4 linked regions of the Anolis sagrei genome follow. The protein of the gene in region 4 interacts with the protein of the main gene of each other region in a pairwise test. Links are inferred from orthologs where the notes say so. Each region holds a gene or a part of one and is shown on either strand. Other genes may lie near its edges.

Region 1 (7,508 bases), on a different chromosome or scaffold from region 4:
AAATACACTCTTAAGCCAAACCTAATTCACATCCAAGGTATTTCCTCTCCCAGCTAATTCAATTCTACTCCTCAAATCAATGCTCCCCCCCCCCCCCCCACCATACTGTGTCCCAAGCACAAATTCAGCCATCCATGGTTTGAAAAATATATTTTTTTAATTGGGGAGGGGATCCGTTCTATATCAGGAGCTTCATCTTACTATGAGCATGCAAATCTCAGGCCGCAGCACAGCTTCAGGTAGGGAATAGATTCCGATTATTTTCCTGCCTCCTGCCAGAAATAAAACCTCCAAGCGGTCACGTGACACTGAACAGCTGATTGTTCCTCCCAATAAATGAACATGCCATTATTCATCATTTTTCCTCACAGAAGCATCCCTGCCACTCTCCTTTCTGCCCTTGGCTTCCCATTTCTCCTTGTGCCACCATCTTCCCAATATTAAGAGTCTTGTGTGTGTGTGTATATATATATAGATAGAGAGAGAGAGAACACACACACATACATATATATACATACACACATAAAAACTGCTTTCAATTTATGGTTAGATATTATAAACACGACTATATATATATAGATAATATTGATATAGTAATATATAATACTGATATTGTACTATGCTAATAATATAATATATTGTATGTATATATATCTTGTAAGCTGCTCTGAGTCCCCTTAATTATATATTTTATATTACATGTAACATTACTAATAATATTACAATATAATGGTATAGTACAATATAGCAATATTTAATACTGATATTGTGCTATGGTAATAATGAAATATATTGTATGTATATATATCTTGTAAGCCGCTCTGAGTCCCCTTTGGGGTGAGAAGGGCGGCATATAAATATCATGAATAAATAAATAATAGTAGTAATAATAATACTAATAATAATTGTGTCTCCTGCACTGGGCTAATAATATAATATAATATAATATAACATATTGTGTATATATATAATATTTATAATGTTATAATGTAATACAATATAATACTAATAATACGATATTATAATTATATATTTTATATTACATGTAACATTACTAATAATATTACAATATAATGGTATAGTACAATATAGCAATATTTAATACTGATATTCTGCTATGGTAATAATGAAATATATTGTATGTATATATAACTTGTAAGCTGCTCTGAGTCCCCTTCCGGGTGAGAAGGGCGGCATATAAATGTCGTAAATATATATATATATATATATATATGGAGCCTCCAGTGGCGCAAGTTGTTAAACATAAGTGTGTATGTGTGCATGCGCTATATATATTGCATACAATATGTTAGTACAAACAATATTTATTTATTTATTTATTTATTACATTTATATGCCGCCCTTCTCACCCCGAAGCGGACTCAGAGCGGCTTACAAGATATACATACATACAATATATTATATTATTAGCATAGTACAATGTCAGTTATATATTACTATATTGTACTAATATGTTAGTACAAACAATATTTATTTATTTATTTATGACATTTATATGCCGCCCTTCTCACCCCAAAGCGGACTCAGAGCGGCTTACAAGATATATATACATACAATATATTATATTATCAGCATAGTACAATGTCAGTATTATATATTCCTATATTGTACTACACCATTATATTGTAATATTATTAGTAATGTTACATTTAATATAAAATATATAATTATACTATTGTATTATTAGTAGCTTTATTGTATTACATTATAATATTATAAATATTATATGTATATACAATATATTATATGTGTGTGTATTAACACAAATAAACGTGAACAGCATATATTCATATATATATATATATATATATATATAGCATTCAATATATTCATTCCAAATATATAAGCTGTGTGTATTCTATACATATGTGTGTAAACACAAATAAGTGAACAGCATATATATGTATATATAAAGTACATATAATATATTAATTCCAAATATATAAGTGCTCTCTCTCTCTCTATATATATATATACACACATATATACAGCTTATATATTTGGAATATATATATATATATATTTGTCAGCACAAACAAAAATAAATAGCACAGACACATATAGATATGTATGTATAGAATACACACTGAGAGAGAGCTTATATATTTGGAATGAATATATTGCATGCAGTTTATATATATTTATATATGCTGTTTTCTTATTTGTGTTTACACACATATGTGTAGAATACACACAGCTTATATATTTGGAATGAATATATTACATATATATATATATGCTGTTCACTTTTATTGTGTTAACAAACAAACACACACACATATATATATACAGCTTATATATTTGGAATGAATACATTACATGCAGTTTATATGTGTGTATGTGTGTGTGCATACACATACACACACACATGCTGTTCACTTTGTGTTAACACACAAACACACATATATGTATAGAATACACACACAAACATATATATACACACAGCTTATATATTTGGAATGAATATATTGCATGCAGTTTATATATATAGATATAGATATGCTGTTCACTTTTATTTGTGTTAATACACACACACATATATATGTATAGAATACACATACAAACATATATATGAACTACAGGCAATACATTAAGCAAAACAAATGATATATATAGATATACACAATATAATAGACAATACAAATAAATCTATAAGTGTAGAAACCCCCCCCCCCCCCAAAATACCTGAGGGGCCCTTCCCGGGAGGGCGCCTCTTTCCCGGGGCGGCGTTCTACGCGAGGCCGGTGCTTAGGCGCCCGGCTAGGCCTCGGTTCGCTTCCCAGGCCTGAGGCCCAGCAATAGCCTTCCTCCGCCCTTCCCTCCCGCGAAGGGCGGCCGCTCGGAAGCCCGAGACAAGAGAAGGCCGGAGGCGGCGAAGAGAACGCCGGCGGAGGAGAAGAACCCTCTGTGGCGGCGCTCCAACCTCAGCCCTCAAAACGTTCCGGACTCCAACTCCCAGAAACCCTCGCCGGCTTCTTCAATGGCTGGGAATTCTGGGAAATGAAGTCCCAAGCGGCTTGGCGCGACGCCAATGGACGGAATCACAATGAGAAAGCGGCTTCAAGCGTTCTGGACTCCATTTCCCAGAAGGCCTTGACAGCTTGTTCAATGGATAGGAATTCTGGGAAATGAAGTCCAAAACACAGGTTGAACGGACCAATGGGAAGGCGCCAATGGAAAAGGGGCGGGAAAAACAAATTCAGGCTGCTTTTCTCTGAGTCTGGACTTCATGGTCTCTCAATTGGACACAACCACAACAACAACAACAACAACAATGGCTGTATGGGAGAAAAAAGGTAGGAAAATAGGATAATATTATTTATCTATTAAATGAACTGCATGGTCTAAGATTGACATAATAATAATAATAATAATAATAATAATAATGCTCAAGATCCTGCAAGGAAGACTCCAGCAATACATGGAGCGAGAGTTGCCAGATGTTCAAGCTGGGTTTAGAAAAGGCAGAGGAACGAGAGACCAGATTGCCAATATCCGGATGCTGGAGAATGGAGAAAGGCAGGGAGTGTCAGAAAAACATCCACTTCTGCTTCATTGACTATTCTAAAGCCTTTGACTGTGTGGATCATCATAAATGGTGGCAAGTTCTTGGTGGGATGGGCATCCCAAGCCCCCTTCCCTCTCTCCTGAGGAATCTGACCAAGGACCAAGTAGCAACAGTCAGAACTGACCACGGAACAGGAGACAGGTTCAAGATTGGGAAAGGCGTACAAGGCTGCAGACTCTCCCCCAACCTTTTTAACGTGTATGCAGAACACATCATGCGAGGATGTGCGGGGCTTGATGAATGCAAAGCTGGGGTGAAAATGGCTGGAAGAAACATTAACAACCCCAGATATGCAGATGACACCACTCTGATGGCCGAAAGCGAGGAGGAGCTGAGGAGCCTTCTAATCAAGGTGAAAGAAGAAAGCGCAAAAGCCGGGTTGCAGCTAAACATAAAAAAACCCAAGATTATTGACAACTGGGAAATAGAGGGAGAAATCCTGAAATCCCCAAATCCATGACGATCGAAATTTCACACTTTTGTGCACTTAAGGAAACATATTGGAATTTCGCATCTAGGCTTGGGACCACCTGTAAGATATCTAATTAAGTATGCATATTATTCAAATACAGGATATGTTTATGCAAATGTAGGTGAAATCCCCAAATCCATGACAATCGATATTTCACATTTTTGTGTATGTAAGGAAACCTATTGGAATTTCGCACCTAGGCTTGGGACTACCTGCAAGATATCTAATTAAGTATGCACAGTATGCAAATGCAGATGAAATCCCAAAGTAACAATTAGTTTTTAAATTATCCAGATGCTTCTGTGTTTCTTTAGGCATTTTAGACCCTTATTGCATTGTATTCAAAATCTGACTAGCTTCTCTATATTCACCCCAAAGGCTTGTTTTGCCCAATGGCTGCATCCTTGTTTTGCCCTCACTTCAGCCAGGGCGGAACTGGCTTCGGCGCACGTTGTCGACGTCACCTGCACGCGACGCTCCCGCCCGTCAGAAAGCGCTTTCCTTCAGGTTGAGGCCGAGGAGGGGGCCTTCGGAGGGGGCCGCGGACATTGCTGTCTTCCGCAATGCCGGCGGGGAAGTGTTTCCGCCGGAGGAAAGCGGATTCCGAGGAGGAGGAAGATGAGGAAGACCAGCACCTCACCCGGGAAGTCCGGTCAGTATTTCCCCTCCATTTCTGGTGTTGTGAACGGCCTTCAGGCCCATTTCCAGTGGCGAAGAGCATTCGGCGCCATTTTGGGCCCGCGAAGGCTCATGGGAGTGGTAGTTCCGCAAAGGATTGGCCCGCCCTGCTTTAAAGGGACTGTCGCCTCCCTAGAACTACAACTCCCAAGCGCTATCGCGGGTCGCCAGGGCAGTTCGAATGCCATTAAATACAATGATCCCCCCCCCCGCTTTTTTGCAAGGAGAAATAGAGTAATAATCTACACATTCTATTCTATATTATCTTCTATCTATACACATTCATACACACACAGATATATATACATTCATACGCAAAATACATACCAAATAATCTATCTACATATTCTATATTCTATCTAAACACATATACATACATACACATATAGACACAATGCACACAGAATAATCTACACTTTATATTCTATATTCTTTTTGTCTATACACGTATATACACGTACACATACAGAATAATCTATCTACACATTCTATACACACATAAACATATATACATTCATATAAACATAATACATACAGAATAATCTACACATTCTATTATATATTCTATCTATGCACATGCATACATATACATTTATTTATTTAAAACATTTGTATTCCACCCTTCTCACCCTTTCGGGGAATATATAAGGGACTAAGGGCGGAGCACAGCATATACACAACAAACATTCCATGCCGGGACACAAATTCACACACATAAACATTAAAAAATTATCTCAATATTAAAATACACCATTTAAAACCGTCCTAGTCATCCGTGTAAAATCTAATTGGCCTGGACATCTTTCCTATTGCTGTTTTATTGCATACATACAGAATAATCTTATCTATACGTTCTATATTCTTTCTATACACACACATATATATATATACATACATACACATAATAAATACAGAAGAATCTATGTATTCTATTTTTTTCTATCTATACACATACATATATATGCACATATACACATACATAGACATATATACATGTACACATACATACACATAATAAATACAGAAGAATCTATGTATTCTATTTTGTTCTATCTATACACATAGATATATATGCACATATACACATACATAGACATATATACATGTACACATACATACACATAATAAATACAGAAGAATCTATGTATTCTATTTTGTTCTATCTATACACATACATATATATGCACATATACACATACATAGACATATATACACGTACACATACATACACATAATACATACAGAATAATTATCTACACATTCTATTCTTTGCTTTATTCTATTCTATCTATACATATACGTACATACACATATATCCACATACATACACATAATACATACATACATTACATATAGTAATATGATATAATAATAATAAATCCCTCCCTCAAAAGGACATAGCAGCAGACGCCATGAACACGTCTTTCAACCTCTGCCTCATAACCCGAGGATGATGGCCCTCCAAGTGCAGTGTCTTGGCAGTGGGTCTGTAAGTGCCTTTGGCCCGCATGTTCTTCCACAGTGAGAGCATCGGTTTCCAGGTGGAAGGCGGTCCCGGTCAGGGTTGGCTTGACGCGCCTTCATCATGGCACATTTCTCCCTTTCGCCTTCAATTCATGCCTCTTCGAATTCCACAGCACTGCTGGTCACAGCTGACCTCTAGCTAGAGCGCTCAAGGGCCAGGGCTTCTGTGTCTCTGCCACAGTTTTTAAGGTTGGCTTTAAGTCCCTTTTTCAATCTCTTTTGCTGTCCACCAGCATTATGTTTCCCATTCTTGAGTTCAAAGAATAGTAACTTCTTTGGGTGATGGTGATCTTTGGGCATTCAGACTAACGTTGCATTCAGTCCAGCAGAGTTGATGGCAGAGGACCATTGCTTCAATGCTGGTGGTCTTTGCTTCTTCCAGCATGCTGACATTTTCCTGCCTCTCTTCCCAAGAGATTTGCAGGATTTTCCGGAGGCAACGCTGATGGAATCATTCCAAAAGTTGAGTTTGACGTCTGTAGACAGTCCACGTTTCGCAGGCATATAGCAGGGTTGGGAGGATACAATTTAAAATTCATAGTTTAGCCTTGGCTGGATCGACCTGAAGAAGAGAGAGGCTTCGTTCCGTTTGAAATTCTGGCAGAAAGGATTGAATCTAGCCTTTGTTTTTCTCTCTCTCTTCTCAGGTTGAAACTGGAGGAAGCCAAAGAAGTGCAGAATTTGAGGAAGAGACCAAATGGCGTCAGGTCGGTGTTTTATTTTATTTTATTTTGATCCTACTTTTCTCCCAAATGTCTCATGTCGATCCCAAGGTAACACAATCCAGGAATTGCCAAAAAATTATAATTACAGCATAAGTCCACAAGCAAAAGGTATCCTTAGTAAAACTTGAGCAGGAATACAAAAACAAGAGCATAGAACACTTCCAGGATACTTCAATCCAAAACCAAGGCTTGATGTGAAAAAAGAACCAAAGAACTCAAGCCTAGCTTCTCACTTGAACACTATGGTCCCTTAAGTAAACAACTTGCTAATTAATAGGCACCCATGAAGTCATTTCTTTTCCCATTAATTCTCTCCCAAACTTTCCCACATAAACGCTCTGACCAGCGCTGCCTATTTTCCGCTCTAATCTGTAAACTAAGACTTTTGTTGATCTCTATAACTCCAGGTGTTTCTCCTGAGGACCTCCAGTATCACTTAGCTCTTTGCCCTACTCCTTATCTAATGTTGCAGTTTCTGGCTCCTCTGACTGACCTTGAAGCACTGCACTTTCCAAGTCAG
Region 2 (7,570 bases), on a different chromosome or scaffold from region 4:
GCAGGATGACCCATGAGGTCTCTTCCAACTCTATGATTCTATCTTTTTTCTATATATCTTTACTTAAAGGTTAACATCTTTAACGAAAAAAAGAAGTGGGTTGCTGTCCATGAAAGCTCATGCTAAAATAAAAGGCTGTTACCAGCCAGCCCTCTGCACAACTGCATCCATAGGTCTAACTACTCATGGCTTGAAATTGTTTGATAGAAAAAATCCAAAGTCAAAGGTGCTGCTACATTCCCCCTGTCCTCCATTTTATGATGGAAGAGACTATGCCCCCTTCTACACTGCCATATAATCCAGCTTATCAAAGCAGATAATCCACATTATCTGCTTTGAACTGGATTAGATGAGCCTACACTGCCATCTAATCAAGTTCAAAGCAGATAATCTGTCTTTTACATGGCAATGTAGGACTATATCCCTGGATCTGATCCCAGGTTTTCTGTTTATTACAGATTAATAATAATAATGATATATATTTTTTTAAAAATATTTATACCCTGCCACCATTCCCCCAAGGGGACTCGGGGCGGCTTACATGAGGCCAAGCCCAACAATGCAATACATCAATATACAACAAAACACAGCAATAAAATATAAAAAATACAAATACAATACAAAACCATTATAAATAGTACAGTATAGGAACTCAAGGCAGACTCTTTACAAGCCAGGTAGTGTCCCCAATGTCTCTATATACATAGAGGGAGAAATTGAGAAAATTGTATTATATCACAGCCATATAACCCAGAAAATCAAGGCAGATAATCCAAAATATCTGCTTTGAACTGGGTTATCTGAGGGCCCTTCTAGACAGGCCCTATATCCCAAGATCTGATCCCAGGTTTTCTGTTAACAACAACAACAACAATAAACTTTATTTCTATCTCACCACCATCACCCCAAAGGGGACTCAAAGCGGATTATATGAGGCCAAGCTCAGCAAAACACTACAACAACATAAAATATAAACAACAAAATAACATCACAGTAAAAATTAACCAATCAAATAAAATAAATAATACAATATAACATAATAGAAAATCCAACACAATGGGTGGGCCAAATGTATGGCATAAAATGATAAACCTCTGGATGAGATAGCAATGAAAAGTGCAATTTGTAGAGAATTATCCCAGATTATCGGGCAGTGAGTATTCATATAATCAAGTTTAAAACAGAAACCCTGGGATCAGATCCTGGGATACAGGGCCTGTCTGGAAGGGCCCTGAGTCCACACTGCCATATAATCCAGTTCAATGTGGATTATATACAGCTGTGTGGAAGGGGCCTTAGATCAAACCTGGGCAAACTTTGGCCTTCCAGGTGTTTGGGACTTCAACTCCCTGGAGGGCCTAACAACTGTTAGGAATTGTGGGAGTTGAAGTCCCAAACACCTGGAGGGCCAAAGTTTTCCCAGGCCTGCCTTAGATTATATATTGTACTAGTGGTCCCCTGCCACGCGTTGCTGTGGCCCTGTCTGGTGATCTGGAAAATAAAGTAATGAGACAATGTTGGTTTCTAATATATGTAATGCCTTTATGCTTGTGGGTTAAAAGTATTTCTTGTTGTTTCTTTGTCAGTGTTGATGTGGAGATTGTCTGGTTTGCCTACTCTGGACATGCAACATATCATTGTCCTTCTTTAGGGGTCCCTTTCAAATCTTTGATACTGCATCTGTCATTATACATATATGTGTGTGTGAATGGCTGGATGGCTCTTTGTCAGGAGGGCTTTGATTATGTTTTCTTGCCCTGGTGAAGGGAGTTGGACTGGATGGCCTTAAGGCAGCATTTCTCAACCTGGGAAGTCAAGACCGGGGGGGGGGGGGGTGTCACCAGGGTGGTGTCAGAAGGGTCACCAAAAACCACAGTATTTTCTGGGTTGTTGTAGGTTTTTTCGGAATATATGGCCATGTTCTAAAGGCATTTTCTCCTGACGTTTCGCCTGCATCTATGGCAAGCATCCTCAGAGGTAGTGAGGTCTGTTGGAACTAGGAAAAGGGGTTTATATATATAGTATTTTCTGTTGGTCATGGGGGTTCTGTGTGGGAAGTTTACCCTAGTTCTGTTGTTGGTGGGGTTCAGAATGCTCGATTGTAGGTGAACTATAAATCCCAGTAACTACAACTCCCAAATGTGTTCATATTTGGAGATATAGAATATTTGTGCCAAGTTTGGTCCAGATCCATCATTGTTTGAGTCCACAGTGGTCTCTGAATGTAGGTGAACTACAACTCCCAAACTCAAGGTCAGTGCCCACCAAACCCTTCTAGTGTTTTCTGTTGGTCATGAGAGTCCTGCATGCCACGTTTGGTTCAATTCCATCATTGGTGGAGTTCAGAATGCTCTTTGATTGTAGGTGAACTATAAATCCCAAGAACTACAACTCCCAGATCACAAAATCAAAAAAAATTGAGTGAAGGACATACATTGGATTGTTAGGTGTATGTTGTCCAAATTTGGTGTCAATTCGCCCACTGGTTTTTGAGTTCTGTTAATCCCACAAACGAACATTACATTTTTATTTATATTAGATATAGATAGATAGATATGAATGACAGAGAAGGCTTCGAGGAAGGGTAGAGAAGAGTTGGTAGTGAGTACCTTGTAAACAAAAGTTACATTTCCTCTATTGATTGTGACTTTGGGGAACACTCTATACATCCCCCCCCCCTTTAAAACAAACCCTCAAATGGAGATGCCACCAAACCAAAGGGGCTTGAAGTCCCAAACACTGAGCCACTCCAACGCCTGTGTCCCAAATCAAAGGCCGAAGGAAACAGGCCTGTGCGCATCGCGGCCTAGTAAACCGGGTCCCACTCACAGCGGATGGTGTGGAAGGAGGCCTTGGGGTGCCGCTCGAAGCTCTCTCCCAGCTGCAGCGGGTGCTCCTCCTTGTCCAGCAGCGGGTTCGCCGAGCCGTTCATGGCCTCCGCAGGCCGCAACGACGATGCCGGTCGCCGTTTGCCTCCTTCCCTCTCTTCCTCCCTTCCCTCCTTCCCTTCCCTTCGCTTTCTCTTCCGGGCTTGGTGTCACCGCGAAAGGGTTCCCCGCTTGGCAAGGAGGCAGGAAGGCGAGCAGGCTGCTTAGGCCTCGCAGAAAGAGAGAGAAAGAAGATCCCACAGAAGAAGAGGGAGGATGAGCCTGGATGAGTCAAGGGCGCCTCTGAGCATGGACAGAGCGCCTCAGGAGAGCGGTGCGTGTTGGTGGGGGCGGCTTTGTAGCTCTTGAGGCCTTTTAGGAAGGCAAAAGAAGAGACACCGCTGTAGAATTACAGGCAGTTTCCAAGCTACCAACAAGATGGGATTTGTAGGTTTGCTCTTAAGTTGAATTTGTTTCAAAGACCCCTTCTACACATTAATATATCCCAGGATATCAAGGCAGAAAATCACACAATATCTGAGTGTGGACTCAGGGCCCTTCCACACAGCCCTATAACCCAGAATATCAAGGCAGAAAATCCCACAATATCCTCTTTGAACAAGGGCCCCTTCCACACAGTTAAATAAAATCCCACATTATCTGCTTTGAACTGGACTATGTTAGTTTCTTAGGTGATCCCTCATTGTCCTAGTAGGATTGTCTTCCAAGATCGGTGTCCTGGCGGTAGGTCCGTAGGTGACTGTGGAGCCCTATGGGTTGGCATGATGCGCCTTTCTCTTGGCACGTTTCTCTCTTTTGCCCTCTATTCATACCTCTTCAAATTCTACAACACTGCTGGTCACATCTGACCTCCAGCTGGAGTGCTCAAGGGCCAGGGCTTTCCAGTTCTCAGTGTCTATGCCAGAGTTTTTAAGGTTGGCTTTGAGCCCATCTTTAAATCTCTTTTCCTGCCCACCAACATTTTGTTTTCCGTTCTTGAGTTCGGAGTAGAGCAACTACTTTGGGAGACGGTGGTCGGGCATCTGGACAACGTCGGCGGTTTTATAGCTTTATAAACAAGCACCTTGGTATCCCTATGGATGTCCTGGTCCTCAAACACTCTGTGTTTCATTTGGAAAAAAGCTGCACTTGCAGAGCTCAGGCGATGTTGTATTTTAGTGTCAATGTTGACTTTGGTGGAGAGGTAGCTGCCAAGGTTACACTATTAAGCTGTATTTCTGGCATTGGAGAGGGGCTGACTGTCAACTGCTGGAAGAGCACTTTGTTTTTCTCAATGTTTAATGACAGGCCGAGCTTCTCCTATGCTTCTGCAAAGGACTATATGACAGTGTGGACTCAGATAACCCAGCTCAAAGCAGATATTGGACCTTTCCACACAGCCCTATATCCCAGAATATGAAGGCAGAAAATCCCTCAATATCTGCTTTGGACTGGGGAATCTGAATCCACACGGCCATATATTCCAGTTCAAAGCAGATAATGTGCGGTTTTATTCAGCTGTATGGAAGGGGCCTGAATCTACAATCAGATAATGTGGAATTTTCTGCCTTGATATTCTGGGATATAGGGCTGTGTGGAAGGGCCCTGAGTCAGAACAGATACTTTTTAAAGTCTAACTCGGGTATGGGCAAACTTCGGCCCTCCGGGTGTTTTGGACTTCAACTTCCACAATTCCTAACATGTTGGGAATTGTGGGAGTTGGAAGTTCAAAACACCTGGAGGGCCGAAGTATGCTTATGCCTGGTCTAACTCTAGCCACACACACACACACACACAAATATATGGCTGGAGTAACACTTGATAAAAAGTACAAATCCAACTTAAGAACAAACCTACAGAACCTATCTTGCTCACAACTTGGGGACTGCCTGCATATATATATTTCATATATAAAAGCTTTGGATCGCATAGGGAAGGGTTGACACCCCAGTGGTGTTTGTTTTGCATCCTGTGTCTCTGGGCCCTTCCACACAGCCATATGGCCCAGAATATCAAGGCAGAAAATCCCACAATATCTGCTTTGAACTGGGCTATCTGAGTCCACACTGCTATATATTCCACTTCACAGAAAATGTGGGGTTTTATTCAGCTGTGTGAACGGGGCCTCTGTTCAGAAGATTTCACCTCATTTTCTGTCCCTCTGGAAAATGTGGCTTGTTGTGGAAACAGGGATTGGTGAGAAAGCTTCATTTGAGCTTCAAAACCATTTTGGAAAAATTCAGGGTTTTGCTTTGTGACCCATGATTTTAAAGCTTTTTTAACGTCATTCAGTGTCAGACTACACAGAGAAGCCAGAGCTCCTGTGAAAGACAACCTACGTTGTTTCAGATTCAATGGGTTGAATGATGTTAAAACAGCTTTAAAATCATGGGTCATGAAGCAAAACCCTGAATTTTTCTGAAATGGTTTTGATGCCTGGGTTAAATGATGCCACAAATATGTGCAAATTGATGGTGACTATGTTGAACTGTAGTTTTGAGTAGAGGATAGTTCAGGCTATGATTGGTTGCAACTTCTGCTGTTATATGTTCATTTATAACATTTTATGACACAGGAGACAAAACATTTTGACCCACCAGCGTGTGTGTGTGTGTACACATACACACACACACACACACACATATATATAAATAATCCGGACTTACACTTTAAAATTTACCTGTTGCAACATGCATGTACATTCAACTTCAGAAAAAACCGACTGAACCCATCTTGTTCGTAACTTAGGGACTGCCTGTATAGCAGTTTTCCTAAATTTATTTTTCTCCCCCGAATTGCACAGTTTTGTGGTTGAGATCTGACATATTAGAAGACAACAGGTTAGGGAAGGTTACTGTATCCCAATCTATTGTGGGAGGCTTACATCTGCTGTTGACATTGTTTCTTCTTTTGCTTTTTTCTTCTGCATAAAAATGTATTTATATTTATAAAAAGTGATATTATAGGGAAATGAATCACCATGAAGATCCTGTTATCATTTTGCTGTGTTCTCAAGTGGAAGATATAAAATGGTAACCTTTCCCTTGTTGTCGTCTTGAATCTAGTTCTTTCCTAGAAGTATGCGATTAAGGAATGCAGTGACTACAAATCTGCGCTTCCTCCTTTAATCGAAATGAACGAATTGAGGCTTCTCCAGAGTGAGTCATCTGCAGCTGAACTTGATGGGGTAATATCAGATCTCGAAAATGGAGGTTTCCATAGAAGAGGACATAAGATGAGAACGCTTAGCCCCGAAGAAGCTGAAAGGCTGGCCAAAGATCCAGTCGTAGTATCTGATTTCAAGCAACAGAAGCTTGAGAAAGAAGCACAAAGGAATTGGGACTTGTTTTACAAAAGGAACAGCACAAATTTTTTCAAGGATAGACACTGGACAACAAGAGAGTTTGAAGAACTAAAATCCTGCCGTGAAGTGAGTTTCATCTTCCAGAGATGGCTTTGCTGCCCAATTTGGAAGTAACTTGTGCCAAATAACTACATTACCTATAGAGCATGGTGTTGGCAGTGTCTTTACTTGGAAAAGTAACCTTAAAAGTAACTGTAACAGTGTTGCTTTTTGGAATAACCTGTGTTATTTTGATCCAAAACACTGATTTCAGGAGATTTATGGTCATTTTTTTTTATTTTTATTAGTATTACAAAGTACATTTTTAAAAGTAAATAAAATGTAACTAACCAGTAATGAATCACAATTAGGCACAAGTTATTTAAAAACACACACACACAAACAGAAACAGAAAATCCAACAGCACTAGCAAATTACTTTTCAAAAGTAGCATTCCAAGTTCTGGATCGTCTTTCCTGGAGGGCCCAAATGCATCATCTTCTATATGTAACTATCCTATGATTTTTGGTTGCTTCTGCTACCTTTTTGTCTTATTAGAAAAAGATCTATTATGGAGGAAAAACAAGTGGAAATGTTGCAAAATCTCCTTTTTCAGCACTAGAAACTTCCAAGTATTTTTAGACCACAGTTTCCAGGGTTAAGGAATGCTGGGAGTTATAGTCCAACAACAGCCTGAGTGATCCATAATTTCCATGGAAGCATCTCAAGTTAGAGCTACTATAGAAGTATTTTGTTTTGCTGGAAGACTGTAGGCAGTTGTAGTTTTATCCTGAGATGTACAATTTTATGTGAATGTCATGGGCTTCAGGCAAAAGAGATGTGCTTCATTTATCCCATGATGCAGCAGTTGTAGTTTCTGTGATGAGATGCGGTGTACCAACCCTTCACATATATATTTTAGGTCTGTCAGTCAATAGCTTCTTATTCAGAAGTCCTACTGTCATAAAGGAGCTGTCACGTCTGATCAAAGCTGCATGTTGTAAAGCTTGATTTAGCATTTTGGAAGAGCACAGTAGTCCAGGAGTTTGAGCAGTCTCTCTTCCTTTTTCCCAACCTAACCACCTTCGACTACACCTCCCATCATCCCCAAGCAGCAGTCAAGGCACAAATTGTTCTAGTACTCTAACTACATCTTAAAGGCACAAGATTGCCAATGGGTCGTATATTTTGTTGCAGCAATGTTGTACAACATACCTTGGTTCAAAGTTAGATAAGTTTGTGATACCATATCTTTACATTATCTGTATAAAGGTGTGTTGGAACTAGTGTAGTTCCAAAGCTGTTGTAGAATAAATCAGTTTTAGAAATTATTTTTCTATTAGGAGGACAACAGTCATGC
Region 3 (7,373 bases), on a different chromosome or scaffold from region 4:
TTAGGTTTATGTGGCACAACCTGTTGTTGGCTAACATCTGGCAATTTCCGGGCATCCTAAGGCCCGTCGCAAACTCTGTTCCTGCGGGAGAAAACCTTGCTAGCATGTCCCTGACGTCACGAGACTCTGCCTCTCGCCCCGCCCCTTTCTCCGCCCCTTTCTCTTTGCCAGCGTGGTTTTTCCTTTGCTAGGGCAGCATTGCCCGCATTTTCTCTCAGTTGGCTGAATTCAACTGAGAGAAAATGCGGGCAATGCTGCCCTAGCAAAGGAAAAACCACGCTGGCAAAGAGAAAGGGGCGGAGAAAGGGGCGGGGAGAGAGGCGCAGGCTCATGACGTCAGGGACTTGCTAGCAAGGTTTTCTCCCGCAGGAACCTAGTTTGCGACGGCTCTAATGTTCCTTTCCCAAAACCACAGAATGGTAGTTCCCCATTTAAGTTTGCCAAGTTCTCTTTTCCCTTGTGTTTGATTCTTAGAAGCACTGTAGATTATTGCAAATAATGGAAACCACCAGATGAAAGTGATATTCTCAATGAGATTAACATCAACACAGGGGCTAGTTCCTCCATACTTAAGGGAAAGATAAAGATTTCCCCTTACATTAAGTCTAGTCGTGTCCGACTCTGGGGGGTGGTGCTCACTTCCATTTCTAAGCCGAAGGGCTGGTGTTGTCTGTAGACACCTCCAAGGTCATGTGGCCAGCATGACTGCATGGAGCACCGTTACCTTCCCGCCGAAGCGGTACCTATTGCTCTACTTACATTTGCATGTTTTCGAATTGCTAGGTTGGCAGAAGCTGGGGCTAACAGTGGGAGCTCACCCAGCTCCCCAGATTCAAATTGCCAGCAAGTTCAGCAGCCCAGCGGTTTAACCTGATATGCCACTGTACTTTCCATACTTTCCTTACAAATATGGGAGTTTTTCAAAATCAATTTACTCCTTCCTCATACTCTCACTGCTTTTGCAAAAAAGAGCAATTTTTGCTCATTCAAATAAATTAACTAAACACAGATAGAGTCTATAGTTCCCCTTGTACCCAAAATATCTCATTTAAGGACAAATTGCCAATATTCTTCACATTTAAAGACCAGTATTAGATGAATTAATAAAGATGATAAATTGACAAATTTCAAAGAAACTTTCAACAGACCACCAATTATTTTTTGACTTCCACTTATTTAAAAGGAGTAGGAACAAAATGACTACTGTAACAGGGTCATGAATGGTACTCTCAAAATGAAGAAAGCTCAGGGCAAGCAAGATTTTGAACAGATCTCAGGATTCCAGTAATATGCAAAGTGCGTCCTATCTCAAGCATCCGTTACTCTAGAGTAGTCATAGGTAAACTTTGGCCGGTAGGCTGTCAGGAATTGTGGGAGTTGAAGTCCAAAACACCCAGAGGGCCCAAGTTTGCCCATGCCTGCTCTAGACCCAACTATAAGTTCAGCAATATCCTTTTAATGAATGTGAATTTGGTTAATATTTATGCAAGTGCCACCAATTATGAAGATGTTGATTATTATTATTATTATTATTATTATTATTATGTATATGCTGCTTTTTCTCTTTTGTGTATTATGTATATACCCCTTTTCTTATAGAATCATAGAATTGGAAGAGAGCACATGGGCCATCCAATTCAACCCCATCCTGCCATGCAAGAACACACAATCCAAGCACCCCTGACAGATGGCCATCTAACTTCTGCTTAAAAACTTCCAAATGATGAGGCTCCACTTCCCTGCTTTGAAAAAGATACCAATGTATAGTTGGGATTCACACTTGGATCTAGTCATAAGTCTCACGCTTTATTTTTGGCACCAGTGTCCCCAGCTAACATCTCCGAATAATGGCTGTTATAAAAACCGAACTTGTCACTTCATCAACATGCCACAAGTTTTGCATTTCTATGGTTCTTCACACAAGAAACTATCAGGGCCAGCTAATCATCTCCGAACAAAGGATTCCCCCAGGCAGGAAGCAGCCAAGCTTTGAAGCTGCAAGGCTATTCAATGCTGATCAACTGCAGCTTTCACACTTGCCTCAGACAGACACCCTGGGCATTCCACAGATATATAAACCCCACTTGCCTAGTTTCAAGCAGACCTCACAACCTCAGAGGATGCCTGCCATTGATGTGGGTGAAACGCCAGGAGAGACTGCTTCTGGAACATGACAATACAGCCCAGAAAACTCACAGCAACCCAGCTCTTCACATTGTCTGCTCATAAAAGTCACTCTACTCCATGCAACAGGTGACTACAAAAGTTTATGCTTACAATTTATTTCTCCCAATCAGTCTCAAAGGTGACACAAGATCCCTTTGCATACTGATTATGTTAAATAGCTCAAGGTTCCTCCTCTCCCAAAATCTTCTGAACTCTCCTCCCCATTGAAATCCGAAGATCCAGCGCTTTGCTCGACAGTCCTTTCTTTTACCTTCTGCTTCTCACCCTCACTCAATCCAGATTGCAGAATTATAGCAGTTTAACACCACTTCGACTGCTAATGTTCCATCCTATAGAACCCTAGGATTTGGAGTATGGTGACAACCCAGGGAAATCTACACTGTTTCCCAAGCTCTGGCCAGCCAGGTGCTTTGGACTTCAACTCCCAGAATCCCTCATCATTGACCAAGGTAGCTAAGGCTTCTGGGAGTTGAAGTCCAGCATCACTGTGATCAAAGAATTCTGAACATTCCAGCCCTTCTGGACTTCAGATCCCAGAATTCCTGGCCGTCGGAAAAGGTGGCAAAGGCTTCTGGGAAATGAAGTCCCAGACCCTCCTGGCAGCTTGAACGCCGGTCCAGCCTCACTCACAGCGGACGGTGTGGAAGGCACAGCGCGGCTGCCTCTCGAAGCTCTGGCCCAGCCGAAGGATGCGCTCCTTACAGTCGAAGAGCGGCGGGGCCGCCCCGTTCATCCCCCCGCCACACGCAGTCCTGCGCTCTGGTCACTCTCGAAGAGATGCGCTGCCTAGCGCTGCCACAACTGCCCGCCCCGCCTCAGCCAAGCCACACAGCTCACAAAGGCCACGCCCCCTTCCCCTCCTGCCTTCCTTTCATTGGGCGACTGCGCCGACACCACGCCCACCTGGATACGTCCCGCCCCGTTCTGGGGACAAGCGTGACGCAAGAGAACTGTGGCTTTTTTGATTGGTTAGCGACACTGCCACTGTCGCTGAATGAAGAAAGGTTGAAACTCCCGGAGCGCGAGAGAATGCTGTTTATGCAAATTAGGGTGGTTTAGGGCGGGGCGACGGGCAGTGGCGTCTCGCTCCGAGGATGGCGGCGCTGCTGATTGGTGGGCTCCTTGTGCCCTCACCATGGTAACTGGCCGTTGGTAGGGAAACCTCACTAGTGTTTCCGGTCGGGAGCGGAAGCGGTTGAGAAGTGGATCAAGAATGCCTTGATACCTGAAGATAACTTGAGAAGAAACGTTGTTCTCCAGGTCTTCTAAAGGAGTGCGGCTTCAACGGTCTTTATTAGTGTTCTGCATCTATTGTTGTTGTTCATTCGTTCAGTCGTCTCCGACTCTTCGTGACCTCATGGACCAGCCTACGCCAGAGCTCCCTGTCGGCCGTTACCACCCCCAGCTCCCAGCTCCTTCAAGGTTAATGCAGTTTGACACCACTTTAGGTGCAGCGGCTCAATGCTGTGGAATGAATCCCGCGAATTGCAGCCTGGTGAGGCCCCAGCGCTCTTGAAAGACCTTGTCAAACGAAAACTCCCAGGATTCCATAGTATTGCGCCATAGCAGTTCAATTGGATCAAACTGCATTAATTCTACAGTGTAGATGCACCCCTTGTGAAGGAGAGGCCTCCAGGCCACCCTTATTATGAGCAAAATGCATCCAGAGATGGCTTTTTCTTTTACCAATCTCTACTCCTTATCAAATTTCCATATCTATTTTTGCGCTAGCATGTTGGTGTTAACCTAACTTATCTTATCTGCTTCCCCGTTGTCTCTGTTGCATTGTTTTCAAATGCTCAGTATGGGATTCTGGGGCCTGCTGTTTCCCTTGCCTGCTGTAGGTAGGCACAAACAGTTATAATAATCCCATGGAGTATAGAATCCAGCTTTTTCCAAGCTATCACGGCAAAAGTATGATAGCTGGGACCCAATTCTGGTTGCGTGACGAGGGTCAGTTAGAGAAGCGAAGACGTTACATATTTGAACGTGCTTGCATACGATATCCGGATAGCCTTAAGTAGTATGCTTGGCTATTTGTTGACCTCCCCCCCCCCCCCCTTTCTGGCAAACTATTTTGCCACGACTCTGTCACAGCTGTGTCTCTCACTCGTTGTGCTGTCTTGGCATTGTGTCCCAGCTATCATACTTTCGCCGCTATCACTTTATTATATGTATTTCTGATATTTTGTTGTAACCTGACACTGAAAATGTGTGTCATTCTCCAGTATATCATTAAGAGCCTTCCAGTGCTGATGCAGCTAAACAACCTTTCCAGCTAGACAGGATAATGAGAAAAAAGCGAGGTGAATGCGAATTAAAAAGACTGCCAATAAGGGGCATCTTCAACAGAGGCTTTGTTAACTGAGGCCCCTTCCAAACAGTTGAATAAAATCCCACATTATTTGCTTTGAAGTGGGATAAATGGCAGTGTGGACTCAGATAACTCAGTTCAAAGCCAATGCTGTGGGATTTTTTGCCATGATATCCTGGGTTATGTGACTGTGTGGAAGGGCTCTGAGAAACATCTTTAGTACTTCTGCCCTCAACACTCCTTGTAGTCCAACCCCGCTTTCCCCATAACTGTTAATTTGGTGGCCCTTCCACACAGCCATATAACCCAGAATATCAAGACTGAAAACCCCACAATATCTGTTTTGAACTGTGTTATCTGAGTCCACACTGCCATATATCCCAGTTCAAAGCAAATAATGTGGGATTTTATTGAGCTGTGTTGAAGGGGCATAAGAAAGCCCAAATAGGGCAGGTGGTTTAGCATACAAGGAGTTCATACTTACATTTGGCATATCTATTTGCAGAGTCGAACTGGTGGGGAAGGAAGGGTTGCTCTCATGTGTTGAAATAGTTATGGTTATAACATTAAAATAATAAATTGACATGACAAAATATTCTTGTAGTTATAAAAAGCTATTTGTTTCAGTTTTGGAGGCATGCAATTATCTGATGATAATTCTATAAATGATACCTGGTGAATCACAGTATATGAAATTATCTGGAAATGATTTACTGACAGTCAAATCTAGGTCTCTTTGTTCTGACTGACAGCTGATCTTAAACTTCTGCATCTTTTATGCGAACCCATTAAACTGAAAATGCTAGGGAATGAATCTGCCATAAAAGTATATTTTCAACTGTAGCTGCGAGTGGGACAACTCCCCCGGCTCACCAATATTATAAAGGTAAAAAGATGAAAGTATCTTTAAGAAAACAGAATTTGTGAGATTCTTAATGACATTTGCCTTCAGAACATATCTGGTGTTAATTTTATTAGACACATCATCTAATCCACTCTTCTCCAACCGAAGGCAAATATCTTGCTGGTTTTGTCCTCCTTTCTCTTATTAAAATACAGCTGTCCTATGAAATGAAGCCATTACCTGTGGATCCCAGAATATTGTCACTGGCTGCCCAGGTCACTGAAAGCTCAGGTCAGGATGTCCCTGGGCTACTGCTAAAGATAAAAGGTAAGTATTTATTTATTTGCTTAGGAATTGACAATATTCTACTAATCTATCCTAAAATCTCTAGTGCCATAGGTCCCTTGGTAATACTGTCACATCTTATGCGGGGGGTGGGGGGGGGGCATTTTCCCCATTTACATCAAGGTGTAGTCATCTCAACATTAGGCTTTTTCTTTTATAACAAGGTATGCATCTTCTTTCAAAATGAAATTGCTTTTCTGGGAAGCAAGGTCTGGGAACTGAAAATGAAACCCACACTACACATTTTCCATTCCTGTTTTAACTTCAAGACAAATATGTACATGAGACAAATATGTACAAAGCCTCTTATATAACAAATGAACCTGAAATTTATTTCATTTATTTATTTACTTTGTTTTATTTCCCGCCTTTCCCCCTCATTGAGCATCTAACGCTAGGCAACAATTTAATGCCGTTCAGATATAATACAGTACTGACTCAAAATACATAAAAATAAAAAAACACAAAGCTTAAACAACAATACATTTGATAAATTCAAAATTCATTATCACAGTGCTCTATCTGATGACGGTTTTTGAAATAACACCTGTGCTTCTTTGATGTTTTGCTCCAAATTTTATGAGTATGAGTATAAAACTTGATTTGGGGTTAGAAAAGCAAGAGAATTTATTAGCATGGAGTAAGTTAGTTCTTCCTATGTCCCTTCCTAATAGAGTAGCTGTAAGAATGATATAGTCATCAAGGACCAAGGTCTTAAACAAAAATCATTTGCAAATAACTAAGTCTATCATATTTGGTCCTTGTCTGTATTGCCGGTGATCAGGCCATATACTACAGGTACATTAATTTTAATACAATGCATTTAATAAGAATAGTCAACCCTGATTGGGAGTTATGTGGGTTTGTTCACAGAACCTATAAGTATTTTCAAGGAAAATAGGTGCAGGAATTAGGGACCAGATGGAGCAACAATGAGGCATGTATATGTTTGCTAGATTTCACCTAGGACAAGAGGAGCCCCTGGTGGCGCAATGGGTTAAACCTTTGTGTCAGCATGACTGCTGACCGACAAGTCAGCGGTTCGAATCCAGAGAGCAGGTTGAGGTCCCTGTGTCAGCTCCAGCTCCACCTGTGGGGACACGAGAGAAGTCTCCCACAAGGATGGTAAAACATTAAAACATCCAGGTGTCCCCTGGGCAACATCTTTACAGACGGCCAATTCTCTCACACCAGAAGCGATTTTCAGTTTCTCAAGTCGCTCCTGACAGGAAAAAAAAAACTAGGACAAGGCTTCTGTTCTCTTTATGTTACCATGGCAAATATTATTCCTATTTAAAAACATTTCATTCTCAAGAGAGACTGAGGAAAAACCACAAAGGCATTATAGTTAGAGGAACTCTGAATTGCTAGAGGACTACTTTCCAGTAAAGGAAGTCTTTGTGGGCAAAGATTGCTAATTCTAGCTGTGCAGAAGAAGGAAGTCTTACCCTCTGATTACCAAAACCCCATTTCAGTATCTGTCTTGTTTTGTGGCTATAATTCATGCTTGTTCAAAGCTTTTTCTGAACCATCTTAATCTTTACTTAGGTGTGCTTCCAGTGCTGCTAAAGTCTTGTCTGTGCCATTATCCTGATTGCTTTGCCTGTCTTACCTTGCCCATCAAATCTAACCTGTAGGTCAAGGCTGGGCAACTTGTAAATGCAAATAATTATTGGATTGCAA
Region 4 (6,900 bases):
TAATGTTTGATTTTATTGTTGCTGATGTTTTAATATTGTATATTGCAATTGTGTCCTTGGTGGCATTGAATTCTTGCCTTGTAAACCGCCTCGAGTCGCCGAAAGGCTGAGAGGGGCGGTATAGAAATGTACTAAATAAAATAATTAAATAAATAATAAAATAAATAAAATAAAGTATATACTCAAGTATAAGCCTAGTTTTTCAACCCTTTTTTAGGCTGAAAAAGTCCCATTCGGCTTATACTCGAGTCAAGATTATTTATTATTTAATTCTATTATTATTATTATTTTACTCTATTATTATTACATTTTTTATTTTACTTTATTATTGCTGTTATTATTGCATTTATTATCTTACTCTATTATTACTGTTATTATTACATTTCTATTACTTTGCTCTATTATTATTACATTTATTATTTTACTCTTTTATTACTGAAAGGATGTGCAAACATTTACACTGAAAAAGGTTGGTATCATGGTTTAATCAGAGTCGGACAGTCTTATCTTAAATTACAGTTTTATGTAAATATTCAAAAACATTTAACCATAGATGCAGGCTAAACGTCAGGAGAGAATGCCTCTAGAACAGGGGTCCTCAAACTACGGCCCGGGCGCCGAATGTGGCCCTCCAAGGTCATTTACCTGGCCCTCGCTCAGGGTCAACCTAAGTCTGAAACGACTTGAAAGCACAAAGCAACAACAACCCTACCTCATCAGCCAAAAGCAGGCCAACACTTCCCAATAAAATACTAATAAGTTTATATTTGTTAAAATTGTTTTTCATTTTAATTATTGTATTGTTCTAAAGTGTTTTTGCACTACAAATAAGATACATGCACTTTGCATAGGAATTCATTCATATATTTTTTTTCAAATTATAATCCGGCCCTCCAACAGTTTGAGGGACTATGACCTGGCCCTCTGGTAAAACGTTTGTGGATCCCCTGCTCTAGATCATGGCCATATAGCCCGAAAAAACCTACAACAACCCAACATTTAACCTACTGATGCCTCAGTTAATGAGATAGTATTGGAATCTATTTTTATTTTGGAATTTACCAGTAGCTGCTGTATTTCCCACCTTTGGCTTATACTCAAGTCAATATGTTTTCCCAGTTTTTTGTGGTAAAATTAGGTGCCTCGGCTTATATTTGGGTCGGCTTATACTCGAGTATATACGGTATTACATGTAATATTACTAATAATATTACAATATAATGGTATAGTACAATATAGTAATATTTAGTACTTTTTTTTGTCGTGTCAGGAGCAAGTCGCTTCTGGTGTGAGAGAATTGGCTGTCTGCAAGGACGTTGCCCAGGGGACGCATGGATGATTTGATGTTTTTATCATCCTTGTGGGAGGCTTCTCTCATGTCCTCGCATGAGGAGCTGGAGCTGATAGAGGGAGCTCATCCGCCTCTCCCCGGATTTGAACCTGCGACCTGTCGGTCTTCAGTCCTGTCGGCACAGGGGTTTAACCCACTGCGCCACCGGGGGCTCCATAGTTAATACTGATATTGTACTAGGCCCGTGATGGTGAACCTATGACACGTGTGTCAGCACTGACACGCATGGCTATTTTTCATGACACGCAGCCACATGCGGCCGCATATAGAGAAGTACACCTTATAAGGGCCAATTGAATTCCATCCTTAAATTTGTAAAAGGCTCTACAAATTTAACATCTGCATGTTTGAGCATTGTTCACTCCATAACTCAGCATGGAATATACATTTTTCTTATTTAAACTATAAATATTGCAAAGTTATGGGGTTTTTTTTCTCGAAGTTGACACTCCACCCAAGTTATGGTCAGGTTTTTGGCAGATTTTAACACACCAAGCTCAAAAGGTTGCCCATCACTGTACTAGGCTAATAATATAACATATTGTACGGATATATATCTTGTAAGCTGCTTTGAGTCCCCTTCGGGATGAGAAGGCCGGCATAGAAATGTCGTAAATAAATAAATACATATTGTGGATTATCTGCCTTGATATTCTGGGTTATATGGCTGTGTGGAAGGGCCATAAATATCATTGTCTGGCTGATTTCCTGATTCGCCTCTTCTTGAAAATTGCATTGACCAGGAAGTGCCACCTAACTTTCACATTTGATGTCTTGGCTCCCTGAGAAAAAAGTGCCGATTCTGAATAAATAAAAACACGCAAAAACACCGCTTCCAAGATTATTAAATAGTTAAAATAATCCTAATGAGACTGAAAGGAAGGACACATAGGGCCCTTCCACCCAGAATATCAAGGCAGAAAATCCCACAAAATCTGCTTTGAACTGGGTTATCTGAGTCCACACTGCCATATATCCCAGTTAAAAGCAGATATTGTGGGATTTTATTCAGGTGTAGAAGGGTCACACATCCTGGTTGCCAAACTCTCTGTATCTAGAAGTCTTCCTTGTTTTATTTCCCAGAGACAAAAAGGAAATGTCACACAGACGACGACCTCCCTTCCTCTCTCCCAGTCTCTCTTTCTCCCTTCCCCCCCTTTTTTCCCCTTTTTCCTTACCTTGATTTATCAGTTTAAAGCTTTGGGATTTCCTGCTTCTTTTCCTCTCAGTAAACTCCATAGTGCGAGCAGGAAGGAGGAGGAGGAAGAAGAAAGGCAGGAGGAATCAAGTGCGACGAGGAGGAGGAAGGAGAAAAGAGGAGGAAGGAGGGTCCAGCCGCCAGAGAGAGACCAAGGTCCGTCTCTGTAATGGGCAGAAAGGAAGGAGGAAGGAGGGCCAAGCGGGACAAGTTGGCGGCGGACTTTCCCTCGCCTCGCCTCCCCGCGTCGCCCGCATCCAGCTCCAAACTTTGGAGAGGGGCTGCCGTCCCCTCCGCCTCCTCCTCCTCTGAAGGAGAGAGAGGGAAGGAAGGGAGGAAGGGGGCGGGAGGAAGAGGGAGGCGAATCAATGGGGAGGAGGAGGAGGAGGCGGCGGTGGTGGTGACTGGGCGCCCGGTGCCACCTGCTGGGGAGGAGGAGAGCCGAGGCACACGCCCCGCGGCGGGAGGCTGGGCCCAAAGGCCGCCGCCGCCGCCACTGCCACCTCCAGGCCGGCTGGGCAGCCCACGCCAGGCCGGGGACGCAGCGGCGGCTGTGGGCCCCAAGGGGGAGGAGGAGGAAACAGAGTGGGGGAGATAGAGCAGAGTGTCATGGCTGCTAATAGCGAGGGCGGGCACACCGCTCGCTGCCTGGCTCTCCCTCCCTGTCTGTCCCTGACAGGGGGCGTGGGGTTGCCTCAGAGCCCGGGCCATTGGGAGGGGGAGGGAGCAGCGCCATTTTGTGCCCTCCATCCCATCCACCTGAGGGAGAGAGAGAGAAAGAGAGGGAGGGAAGGAGTGCGGCGCCCTGACGGAGGCCATGGCTCGTGCCCCCTCAGCCGCTTCCTCGCGCCCTTTTTGCCCACTAGGGCAGCGTCGCGCGCCTCAATCCCCGGTACAAGCAAGGCAGGAAGGAAGCAGCCCTCTCTCTCGCCATGAACGGCCTTTCAGTTAGAGTTACCTCAGGCCGCTTCTTGACATCCCCTCGAGCGATTTATGTTAATATTAGCTATTTCTACTGATGTTAAAAACTGATGCCATAAGGAAGAGGGAGCAGGTTTGTTTTCTACTGCCCTGGAGACTTGGATTCGAAGTAGTGCGTTCACATGCCTAGAGGAGGGTGACTAAAATGATCAAGGGTCTGGAGAACAAGCCCAATGAGGAGCGGCTTAAAGAGTTGGGCATGTTTAGCTTGTTGCGCTTGGAGCCTGGAGTAACGTCAATACCTGACAATTTCACCTTATGCCTGGAGGCTCTGCCGAACTGGCTACATGCTAGCAGACTGAAGGTGAACCCGGCAAAGACTGAGATTCTCTGGCATGGCCACCCGATAGGTCCGACCCATCCGTTACCTACCTTCTCTATCTCCATCGCCTACCGTTAAGAGCCTAGGTGTCGTTTTGGATTCGCAGCTGACGATGGAGGCTCAGGTCGCTGCTGCCAGCAAACAGGCCTTTTTCCATCTACGACAGTGTTTCTCAACCTGGGGGTCGGGACCCCTGGGGGGGTCGCGAGGTGGTGTCAAAGGGGTCGCCAAAGACAATGATAAGACACAGTATTTTCTGGTGGTCATTGGGGTTCTGTGTGGGAAGTTTGGCCCAATTCTATCATTGGTGGAGTTCAGAATGCTGAACTATAAATCCCAGCAACTGCAACTCCCAAATGTCAAGGTCTATTTTCCCCAAACCCCACCAGTGTCCACATTTGGGCATATTGAGTATTCGTGCCAAGTTTGGTCCAGATGCATCAGTGCTCTCTGGATGTAGGTGAACTACAACTCTAAAACCCAAGGTCAATACCCACCAAACCCTTCTAGTATTTTCTGTTGGTCATGGGAGCTCTGTGTCCAAATCAGATAAGAGCAAAGGGGATCGCAATCACAAGCAGAAAAGCGCAGGAAGCACGGCGGCACAAGGCACAGAGGCTGTTCCCTTGAAGCCTTAAAACCCAGTATTTGGCACTAGCTCTTAACTCAAAATGCTACTTGTATGTCAGAGTGAAACCATCGGCCCATTTATGGTTCTTAACTCAAAACACTCTTAAGTTGGGGTGCTCTTAAGTAGAGGTTCCACCATATCTATATTTCTATCTCAAGAAAAAGACAAAATAGAACACACTAAATGATATATATCATTCCCAGAACATTGATGATTGTAAACTAGACAGCTTACAATCATCCTGCATTTACTTTGCACCAGCAAATCTAGTGCGCACCTCAATTTCCAAAACCCTGAAACCAAAATAAATTATTGTAATGCACAGCAGCACAAAAGTGCACTCTTTGTAATTTGGCCCCAAAAGGTACACGTTACAGTGGCTGCCTGCTCAAAATTCCTTCTTTCAAAACAAAAGTGTTAGAACACCAAAGCTTTCAGCAATGGAAAAATAAAACCTTGGGGTGCATCTCTGCTGTAGAATGAATCCACTTTGACTTCTCTGGCACCATGCTAAGGAGTCATGGGGGCTATAGTTTGGGCTCTATATTTGGCTGGAGTTGCACTTAAAATGTGCTCACTTACAAACAAATTCAACTTAAGAACAAGCCTTCAGAACCTATCTTGTTTGTAACTTGGGGACTGCCTGTATAAACATATCTACAAATGGGAAGCATCTTAGGACGTGGGTGTATCAGATATATTTTTGTTGCTGGTGGTGTTACTGAAATCGAGGTGCGTCTTACAGTTGAAGAATCATAGAGTTGGAAGAGACCTCATGGGCCATCCCGTCCAACCCCCTGCCAAGAAGCAGGAATATTGCATTCAAAGCACCCCTGACAGGTGGCCATCCAGCCTCTGTTTAAAAGCCTCCAAAGAAGGAGCCTCCACCACACTCTGGTGCAGAGAGTTCCACTGCTGAACGGCTCTCAAAGTCAGGAAGTTCTTCCTCATGTTCAGATGGAATCTCCTTTCTTGTAGTTTGAAGCCATTGTTCCGTGTCCTAGTCTCCAAGGAAGCAGAAAACAAGCTTGCTCCCTCCTCCCTGTATATATTCTGTTTTCTCACCTCAGTTTAAAAGTGGCTTTTAATATTCCAAATTCTTGTGTGACTAGATATGGCGACAAGAGGGAAATATATACATACTTTTAAGCTGTATTGTTTACTCAAAAATGAAATTAAGGCACACAAATTGCCACAACTACAGACAATTAAAACCCGTAAGGAGTTTAATTTTGCAAAGAGAGATTTAAAAGATTAAGATGAGTTCAACATCGGCCATAAAGAAGTCTTATTTGGAGTTTTTGGCTGCAATGTGTCTTGTTTATTGCCTGTCTTTTTCTGATTTCGATCCCAGAAACCTAACCAGGGCCGGCCCTCTTGGGAAGCCGTATAACTTTCTTATGAGTAAATATTCATAGCATTGAGTTGGGCATGAAACATGCCTAACTTGATAGGTCAGGAGATAGGCTAAACAAGCTGACTAGTAGATTTACACTTAATTTATTCCTAAATTCCTCAACATCAACGTCAAGGCAGACCAAGCATATTTTTCTGCCTCAGTCAGAGATGGAAATGACACACCCAGCCATGTCACGATTGTTGTTGTGTACCTTCATTGCCTTACTTACTTATTTAGATGATCCCTCATAGTCCAAGGATGATGGTCTTCCAAGGTCGGTGTTCTGTCGGTGGGTCCGGAGGTGACTCTGAAGCCCAATTCTTGATCTGCATCTTCTTCTTCTTCCAGGTGGAAGGCAGTATCGGTCGGGGTTGGCTTGATGCGCCTTCCTCTTGGCACGTTTCTCTCTTTTGCCCTCCATTCGTGCCTCTTCAAACTCCACAGCACTGCTGGTCACAGCTGACCTCCAGCTGGAGCGCTCAAGGGCCAGGGCTTCCCAGTTCTCGGTGTCCATGCCACAGTTTTAAAGGTTGGCTTTGAACCCATCTTTAAATCTCTTTTCCCGGCCACCAACATTCCATTTTCCGTTCTTGAGTTCGGAGTAGAGCAACTGCTTTGGGAGACGGTGGTCGGGCATCCGGACAATATGGCTGGTCCAGCGGAGTTGATGGCGGAGGACCATCGCTTCAATGCTGGTGGTCTTTGCTTCTTCCAGCACGCTGACATTATCCACTGGTCTTCCCAAGAGATTTGCAGGATTTTCCAGAGACACCGCTGATGGAATCGTTCCAGGAGTTGCATGTGATGTCTGTAGACAATCCACATCTCACAGGCATATAGCAGGGTTAGGAGGACAATAGCTTTATAAACAAGCACCTTGGTATCCCTACGGATGTCCTGGTACTCGAACACTCTCTGCTTCATTCAGAAAAAGGCTGCACTCGCAGAGCTCAGGCGGTGTTGAATTTCAGTGTCAATGTTGACTTTTGTGGAGAGGTGGCTGCCAAGATAGTGGAAA

What was found.
Region 1: the proteins of BEND7 (region 4) and USP20 interact in binary tests that used the Homo sapiens proteins (3 or more experiments, as listed by UniProt). The two-hybrid records come from large-scale screens. The link is inferred for Anolis sagrei from reciprocal best matches to the Homo sapiens genes BEND7 and USP20.
Region 2: the proteins of BEND7 (region 4) and EAF1 interact in binary tests that used the Homo sapiens proteins (3 or more experiments, as listed by UniProt). The two-hybrid records come from large-scale screens. The link is inferred for Anolis sagrei from reciprocal best matches to the Homo sapiens genes BEND7 and EAF1.
Region 3: the proteins of BEND7 (region 4) and EAF2 interact in binary tests that used the Homo sapiens proteins (3 or more experiments, as listed by UniProt). The two-hybrid records come from large-scale screens. The link is inferred for Anolis sagrei from reciprocal best matches to the Homo sapiens genes BEND7 and EAF2.

Annotation. Positions count from the first base shown.
Region 1 is NC_090031.1:3,029,485-3,036,992, reverse strand, and holds the start of USP20 (ubiquitin carboxyl-terminal hydrolase 20), read right to left. Parts: upstream 3,010-7,508; 5' UTR 2,707-3,009; intron 240-2,706; exon of another isoform or gene 202-239; intron 1-201. Other genes in the region: C11H9orf78 (splicing factor C9orf78 homolog), read left to right, coding at 4,625-4,713, 6,911-6,970.
Region 2 is NC_090026.1:80,126,777-80,134,346, reverse strand, and holds the start of EAF1 (ELL-associated factor 1), read right to left. Parts: upstream 3,018-7,570; 5' UTR 2,933-3,017; coding exon 2,830-2,932; intron 1-2,829. Other genes in the region: tRNA N(3)-methylcytidine methyltransferase METTL6, read left to right, coding at 6,001-6,297. UniProt on the Homo sapiens protein: Acts as a transcriptional transactivator of ELL and ELL2 elongation activities.
Region 3 is NC_090021.1:222,037,354-222,044,726, forward strand, and holds the start of EAF2 (ELL-associated factor 2), read right to left. Parts: upstream 3,026-7,373; 5' UTR 2,921-3,025; coding exon 2,818-2,920; intron 1-2,817. Other genes in the region: IQCB1 (IQ calmodulin-binding motif-containing protein 1), read left to right, coding at 3,545-3,682, 5,561-5,672. UniProt on the Homo sapiens protein: Acts as a transcriptional transactivator of TCEA1 elongation activity. Acts as a transcriptional transactivator of ELL and ELL2 elongation activities. Potent inducer of apoptosis in prostatic and non-prostatic cell lines.
Region 4 is NC_090025.1:92,913,286-92,920,185, forward strand, and holds the start of BEND7 (BEN domain-containing protein 7), read right to left. Parts: upstream 3,010-6,900; 5' UTR 2,591-3,009; coding exon 2,530-2,590; intron 1-2,529.